Neurospora crassa OR74A: one gene and its partner. The protein of the gene in region 1 interacts with the protein of each later gene in a pairwise test. Links are inferred from orthologs where the notes say so. Each region holds a gene or a part of one and is shown in the gene's direction. Other genes may lie near its edges.

Region 1 (4,278 bases):
TTGGATGACACCAATTTCGTTGTTGACAGCCATGATACTGACGATGGCGGTGTCGGGACGGATGGCAGCCTCCAGCTCCGCCATGTCGATCAGGCCGCTGCTCTTCACTGGGAGATAGGTCACTTCGAAACCCTCGTCCTGGAGATGCCTGCAGCTGTCGAGGACACACTTGTGTTCTGTCTGGCTGGTGATGATGTGCTTCTTCTTGCCGGACCGGCCAAAGAACCTAGCGACGCCCTTGATACTCATGTTGTTGCTTTCGGTGGCACCGCTGGTGAAGATGATTTCCTTGGGGTCAGCGCCAATCAGATCAGCAATGTGTTTCCTCGCCTCTTCAACGGCCTTGTCAGTCTCCCAGCCGTAGGCATGTGTCCTCGAGTGGGGGTTGCCATAGACGTTGGTGAAGTAGGGCATCATGGCATCGAGCACTCTGGGGTCGATGGGGGTTGTGGCCTGCATATCCAGGTAGATGGGACGCTGTCCCTCATCCATCACGGTAGCATTGCTGAGAACATCTAGTTGAGTCAGCAACGAGGACGACTGCGCAATATGTCTCCGAAGAGGTGGGAGGTGATGATGATGCTTACCAGCCATGGGGCTGACGTGTTGGCTCGAGCCATTTTGCGCGCTTATAGTGAGGCCCTGCTTCTCCATCTCCCTGTGATCCAGCTTGATAGCATGCTCGGCCTGCACGTCGGCGTTGTTCCTCTTGGTCTCGGTCACATAGCTCCTGGAAGCAGAAGCAGTCTTGACAGCAGCCGCAGTAGTCGCCCGCGACAGCACACGCGCGCTGCGGAGAGGAGCGGCCGCGGCCAAGCGCGATGCCTGTCGCAAGACGGACGGCGCAATGGTGGACATGGTAAAAGGAAGAAGAAAGAAGGAGAGGAAAAGAGAATATGGTGGTGAGGGTGATGGCGGATGAGGGAGAAAAAGTTCGTTTTGTAACCAAACCTACAAAAACGGATGGAGGCAGCGGGCGGGGCGGCTCAAAACACACTCAGAAATTCAGATGGAGCTGCCGCCTCCCGCTCTTCGGCGGTCGGAGTGGAATTTCCGCCATACAGAAAAGAACAAATCGAAACAAACGGCATCCGCACGCGGACTTGGCCTCGGAGGGGTCGGTGATAAAGGAATGTGCCAATGAGGGGCGACAACCAACAAGGTTTGGCACTTTGATTGGTCATTCTGCCATCGGATGGCCCCACCTGTTTCTTTCTCGGACATCGGACAAGCGCGTATGTACGTACGGCGAAAATGACGCTGCTCCAAAATGTTAGAGAATGGGCCGCCGGGCATGACGGAAACTGAACGCTCGATGTGCACCGCGGCGACTGACTTGACAAATACAGTGCGGAATGTCCACTTGTGAAACGGACTCCGCGGACGCATCTGATCCATCATTGCACAGAAAGGAAGAGCACTGACCCGGGGCAGGCATCCATCTGTTCTCTCAATCGGCATGTCCACTGGGATGAAAGCTACACTACAGCGGGCCCCAGACCCAGTCGGTCTACCCCGTCGTTCCAATTCGTTCCTTTCCGGGGTCTCATCGACCAAAAGCAGAACAACCGATGACGGTACCTATTTACCTCCTCGGTAGTATTCTGTTTCCATTCGCATTGGATGTCTGCGTTGGACTATAACTTGAACCATCAGTGACATGCCATATAACCGCCGACAACCTACTTGAATTCCATTTACACTGCTAAACTATTTAGTAGCATCTTACCTCTAGGACAGCTACCTCTAGCTACTTTACCTCCTACCGTTGAAGACCGAATCCTCCCCGAGGAAGTTTGTCGGACCTCGAACGGAACTGCTGACAAGGGTCCGACCGACGGGATTCAAGAACAAACCGAAATCACAAGACGCCTAGACAAAAAGACTTTTCACACTACATCTTGGAACGAGGTCGCTGTGTGCGGCGTGTCCAACATTCAGCAAATAGCAGCGCCACGCAAACCGTCGCAAGCTTCGCTCAGCCAAGACTTCGTCCACCAGCCAAACGACCTGCACCGCCCCCCTGCCCACCCCCAGCGTCATCACCATCGTATCCGGATCCGACTTGAAGAGGGCACTCGACCACCGATTGCCTTCAACCTCTCCGAACAGCAACCCGCTTTGCGCATCTCCATACAAACACCGAATACACATCAGACATCATACGGCTTCGTAGCAGAATATGAGCTTCAGGGGCTTCCAAAAAAGCGTGGTCCGCGTAGGTTCTGCCCCGCATACCTAGTTGATCTCACCTCCCCTAGTTTCGGTTACAGCGTCATCATCACTTCCGCCCTTCCCGTCGAGTCCCCCGTCTGTGGCAGAAATAGCGCCGAATCACTCGGGTTGGCAAACAGGCACTAACACGACAGAAACCAGGCACCACAACAATTCAAGCAAAAGTTTAACCTCGGCGAGCATACCAAAGACCCTGTCTACATCGACTCGGAGCGCAGATTCCAGGAGCTCGAAACCGAGACCAAACGCCTTCACGATGAAAGCAAAAAGTACTTTGAGGCCATCAATGGCATGCTGCAACACCAAATCGAGTTCTCAAAGGCAATGACCGAAATCTACAAGCCCATCAGCGGCCGCATGTCCGATCCCGATTCGCTCGTTCCCCATGGCAACTATGAGGGTATTGCCGCCTGCGAGGAGTACGAGGCCGTTGTCAAGGACCTGCAGGAAACACTGGCGCCAGAGTTGGAAATGATTGAGGCTAGGGTTATTCGGCCAGCGAACGAGCTCCTCGATGTGATCAAGGTCATTCGCAAAACGGCCGTGAAGCGCGAGCACAAGAAGCTGGACTACGACAGACACCGCGCCACCCTCAAGAAGCTCCAGGACAAGAAAGACCGGTCGGCAAAGGACGAGAAGGCCATGTGGAAGGCTGAGAACGAAGTTGAGCAGGCCACGCAAGAGTACAATTACTTCAACGATCTGCTTAAGGACGAGCTACCCAAGCTGTTTGCCCTCGAACGCCAGTTCATTCAGCCGCTTTTCCAGTCCTTCTACTACATGCAGCTCAACATCTTCTACACCTTGCACGAGAAGATGCAGCACTGCGACATTGGCTACTTCGACCTGACCCTGGACATTGAGGAGGCCTTTTACGCGAAGCGAGGTGACGTCCAGGAGCGGGCTGAGGCTCTCTCCATTGTCAAGTTCAAGACCACGGGTATGAAGCGACCGCCCAAGTACCAACGTCCAGGCGCTCTCGAAGGAAACAAGCCAGCAGGCCTACTTACAGCTGGCTCCTCCACGACCACTTCCACCGGTCCGCCTGAGGCGGCTCCCTCAGTCACAGCCCCACGCCCCTGGGAACAGCAACAACAAGCTCCTGCCGTCACAGCACCGCGACCTTGGGAAACCCAGGCGGAAACAGTAGAAGCGCATGCGCCGCCACCGTATTCGGTGAAGCCGAGCACGCTACATGCTACGCCCGCCTCCTACGCCGCTCCAGTTGCCAGCCCGAAACCCTCGTCGTTGTCCATGGCGGCGGCTGCAAAGGCCAAGCCCCCACCGCCGAAGCCCAAGCCCAAGGCCCTCATGGCGGCGGCACCCAAAGTAGAGACCGTCACAGCGCTTTACGACTACTCGGCGCAGGCGGAGGGCGATCTGAGCTTCCGTGCCGGTGATGTGATTGAGATAGTAACAAGGACTGCGAACGAGAATGAGTGGTGGATTGGAAAGTTGCATGGAAAGCAGGGTCAATTCCCAGGTACGTACTGTACTATTTCTTAGGGTGCTTGCTTTGTTGCGAGCTGGATATGTTCTGACACAATGGTCTTTTGCTAGGAAACTATGTCCAGTTAAACAGCTAGAGGATACAAGGCTACTTGTAAATGTAGTTATCAAAGAGTTGCTTTCAGCACACTTCACTTCTCAGCACGACTTCAACCTATACCCCTTTTTTGTGGACCCGTTCATGGTCGAGTTATTCATTTGCAACCACAACACGGATTCTTTCTAGTTCGTCTACATCGTACCAGGCCGTGACGTTCTGTAGCAGGGCCTTGGTGATCCTATACGGATGCAATGATATGCGGCAGGTGACTCTGTTGAGAATAGTCAGGCAGGAGGAAACTCCGTCGCGAAGGAGGACCTGCGAGGAGCGTGGAGCGAGAGGGTCCCGGGTGTTTGCGTCTAGGGAAATGGCGGGTGTATTGTTTTGGAGCGAAGGAAGCAACGGAGTGAAAAGGTCACAGTGCATTGGGTCAAACCTGGAAGTTTTGATTAGATGCGTTTTGCCATGATCGCCGTCGTGGTTTGTTCCCTTTA
Region 2 (3,977 bases), on another chromosome or scaffold:
CATCTCGGTTCTTGGCTATTTTCGACAAAAAGGAGAGGGCAAGGCGAGCGAGGGCTTAGGCGGATCCCGAACCTTGTTCGTGGCCGAGTTTTGGCGAAATGGGCAATGCCGTCTTTGACATGATGTTTTGGGAATTTATTGAGGCAAACGGGTATCGTGGGGATTCCAATGCTCTGGGTTGGGTCGATGGGGTTTCCGCTGTCGATCAAGCAGACATGGCTGGTATTTGAAGTTTATCAGATGAACCATGTACCTATGCCGTGTGTCTGGACTCTGGAGAAGGTGGTGAAGGAGGTGTTGCAACATTGTATGTAAGTGGAAAGGAGGGTGGAAGAAAACGGCGAAAAGCTCAAGACATTCCAATGCATTTTTGCCGATGATTGGCGCATTTCGGCAGATCCATGCCCCTCATCCGTTTCAGAAAAACCGCTGCGCATACCATTGGGGAAACCCCCCCATGTTCCCCATTCTATTCTAGACTTTTTGTCCCGCTGTGGACGCGCCATCTCTTGCACTTTATAGACGCCGCCAACCAGCCGATGAAGGATGTGCATCGAATCATGGCCGGCGAATGTTTATGGAGTGAACGTGTTTGCGGCCTCACATTTGATCGGGTGGCTTCAGTTGCTTTGACCTGAATATCGACTTTTTGTGTGTGGAGAGAATAAGCACAAAAGAAGGAGGTTTAATTGCATCTCAATGCCGTGGGAGTTCCTTGTTATGCTGTACATAGAGATACGTATGTATATTACTGTACGGCGGGTGAGTGTAACGCAGGAACCTCAAGGGCTGCAACACTGACAGCTGCTGTCTACCATATACTAGTGTAGAGTGAGATACCTAGGTAATGTATGCCCTGTCTGTCATGTTGATAGTAGGTACCCGTCTGATCCCGTATGTAATAGTTCGTGGTGGCCCTGAGCACACGAGCAAGTGCGGTGAACAATGACAAAAGTACGGTAAACAAAGTGCGTGGATTGTGGTGGAGTGATTAGTCTGCTAGGTACCCGCGACTTGACATCGGCCCATTTTAGAGCCTCAGTTAGTGCAGGCTTGGCGTACTGTGTACCCCGAAATCTCTCAGGGGACGACACACTGACCGACCATGGACATTTTGCACTTACAAGCATCAATCATTCTGCACCCAGACTCCTCCCCTCCCACATCACAGACAGACACACACACACACACAATTCGTATCACGACAACAGCAGCAGCAGCAGCAGCAGCAGCGGCAGCGAGTCGACCTGCCCGTTCCTCCAGACCACCTAGGCACCTACCACTCAGACTCTCAACAACAGGTAGTACTGCCAGTGATTCCTGTCTTGTCTTGTCTTGTCTTTAAGCGGCCCTGTTTGCAGCACTTGCCCCCGTCATTGATCACCCATTGTCGACCAGTGGAAAGCGACTGGAGTAGTCGAGCAGCTGTGTGAGTGAGGGGTGTGTGTCTTGTCTCTCTCTCCCTCCGTCCCTCTCCGCCAATTGAACATCCAGCAGCCAGCCAGCCAGCCAGCCAGCCAGCACTTCCACGCACTTGCTTGCTTGTATTTCCGTTTATCAATGGCCAGTCGCTCCGCCGCGTAAACAACAACCACTACCTTGCCTACCTACCTACCTACCTACCTACCTACCTACCTCTAGTACCACACACCACTCACTGCACCCACCACCACCACCTTACTTGTCGCCCGCTCTCGCCTGTCCTTGTGTCGCCGCCTCGTATATTGTCCAGAGCCGGAGCAGCCTGTGCCTATTCCTTGGGTTTCCACCTCCCAAGAAACAACCGAAATGTCGGCATCCGAAGTACAGGAAGGGGCTGCTGCCCCCCACGAGGCGGTCGCTACCAAAGAGATGCCCACGGAGACGGTTCAGGAGGTCACCCACGAGCACGAGAAAGAGGACGCTGCTTCCTCTCCCGTAACAGAGACAAAGGACAAGGACTCCCAGCCCGACCACCAGCGACCAGCCTCTCTCGCTCCCACCAACCTGTCCGACCCAGACGACAAGGACACCGTAAGTCTCCCTTTCCTTCCTCAAGTTACCATGTTACCTGCCCCTAGGGAGGTACAAGGCAGTGCAACCCAAAGCAACAAGAGTACTGTACTATACGAGCGAGTGCTGACCAGCGACCACAATCATGATTATTGCCCATCATGCAGGATACGTTTGAAGATGCCATCGACACAGGTTCCGTAAGGTCCCTAACAAAACGCTCTTCCTCGTTTCACCGCCCGCGCTCCCCATCAATGGACGATTCTGCCGCCGCCGACGCCGACCACGACGCCCGCTCCCACACCACAGAGACACCCCAAGTTCCCAAGACAGCAGAGATCAAGGAAGAGGAGCAGGAAGACGTCTTCGAGACCCCGGCACAGGAGCAGGAAAGCAAGTCGCTACACCGCATCTCGCATGCTTCCAAGGTTTCAGAGGCGTCCGCTTTCTCGGCTGCATCGCTGGACGATGTAAGCCTAAACGATAATTCTACAATTGGAGACAAAACAGGTACGTTGGAAGCTGCACGCACAGCCAAGCAAAACCCACCAGACTGTACTGACAAGGGAACCCAGAAAAATCCCTTGATACGGCGCCTTCGTCAACCAAGAAGCTGTCAATAAGCAGTATAGCTAGTGCCCTGCCCGCCATGCCGTGGTCACCTTCCGCTACCGACGAAGCTGTAAAAAGCCCACCCGCGGCCGCTGCCGCCGCTGCCGCCGCCGCTCCTCCTGCGCCTGCGCCCGCAGCCCTTACTCCGGCACCACCGCCTCCCGTCACCAGAAAACTAACCAGCCCCTTTTCCTGGCTGTCCAGGAGTTCATCAAAGGAGCAAGCCAACCCACCCCCACCGCCAGCCGCCGCAACGGCTCCAAGACGGAATACCGCCAGCTCTGTTGCTACTCTCTCCAGCAACCCCGATGGGACGTTAGGCAAGGTTGACGAGGAGGGCAATAAGAACACTCTCAAGGATCGCTTCAAGCAATTGCGCCTAAGAGAGGAGGGCAGCGCGCCCACGGGAGACGATGACGAGAAGAGCTCTACCCCGGAGGAGAAGGAAGCAGTCCAACCCCCTCCGTCGCCGCTTCCACCAACTCCCAACCCGGCTCTCGCACCCGGTACCGCATCCGGGGTCACTGCTGGCCCAGCGGGCTCCGATACTCCTGTGGACTGGGATCTGTGGCAGACGGTTGTGTACGAAGGTCCCGCAGCTGTTGCTCGGACAAGCCCTGAGCAGTTGAAGGAGGCCATCGCGAAGGGTATCCCCAGCGCCATTCGTGGAGTCATCTGGCAAGTTCTGGCACAAAGCAAGAATGAGGAACTGGAAACGGTTTACCGAGACTTGGTTGCGAGGGGCACAGACAAGGAGAGGAAAACTGACAGGCAGAGCAATGCCTCAATATCACTGAGTAACGGCGGCAAGCCGAGCGGCAAGGATACGCCCTCTTCTGCCTCGTCAGTTCACTCAGAAAAATCTGGGCCCAACGGAACCGGCGCTCCTTCTCCGACAGAGAAAGACGCGGAAGCCCTCGCCAAGGCCCAGGCTCTTGCCGCGGCGGAGCGCAAGAAGAAGGAAAAGGAAGATAAGGAAATGTTGTCGAGGCTCGAAAAGGTCATTAGAAGGGATCTGGGCGCTCGAACGAGCTATTCCAAATTTGCCGCCGCCCAAGGGCTTCAGGAGGGCCTCTTTGGCGTGTGCAAGGCATATGCTCTCTTTGACGAAGCCGTCGGCTATGCCCAAGGCATGAACTTCCTCGTCATGCCTCTTCTCTTCAACATGCCCGAGGAGGAGGCCTTCTGCCTGCTGGTACGACTAATGAACCAATACCACCTTCGCGAGCTCTTTATCCAGGACATGCCCGGTCTGCACAAGTGCCTCTACCAGTTTGAGCGCATACTCGAGGACCTCGAGCCCGCTCTCTACTGCCACCTCCATCGGCGTGGCATCTCCCCTCACCTCTACGCCACGCAGTGGTTCCTCACCT

What was found. The genes of interacting proteins can lie anywhere in the genome.
Region 2: the proteins of NCU04637 (region 1) and NCU08499 interact in binary tests that used the Saccharomyces cerevisiae proteins (3 or more experiments, as listed by UniProt). The link is inferred for Neurospora crassa OR74A from reciprocal best matches to the Saccharomyces cerevisiae genes RVS167 and GYP5.

What each region holds. Positions count from the first base shown.
Region 1 is NC_026505.1:1,375,528-1,379,805, reverse strand, and holds the start of NCU04637 (BAR adaptor protein RVS167), read left to right. Parts: upstream 1-1,466; 5' UTR 1,467-2,182; coding exon 2,183-2,218; intron 2,219-2,376; coding exon 2,377-3,718; intron 3,719-3,795; coding exon 3,796-3,821; 3' UTR 3,822-4,278. Other genes in the region: NCU04636 (cysteine desulfurase), read right to left, coding at 1-515, 588-858. UniProt on the Saccharomyces cerevisiae protein: Component of a cytoskeletal structure that is required for the formation of endocytic vesicles at the plasma membrane level.
Region 2 is NC_026502.1:3,459,284-3,463,260, reverse strand, and holds the start of NCU08499 (GTPase-activating protein GYP5), read left to right. Parts: upstream 1-1,166; 5' UTR 1,167-1,788; coding exon 1,789-2,013; intron 2,014-2,159; coding exon 2,160-2,502; intron 2,503-2,567; coding exon 2,568-3,977. UniProt on the Saccharomyces cerevisiae protein: GTPase-activating protein which accelerates the GTP hydrolysis rate of YPT1 and SEC4. Involved in ER to Golgi trafficking and polarized exocytosis.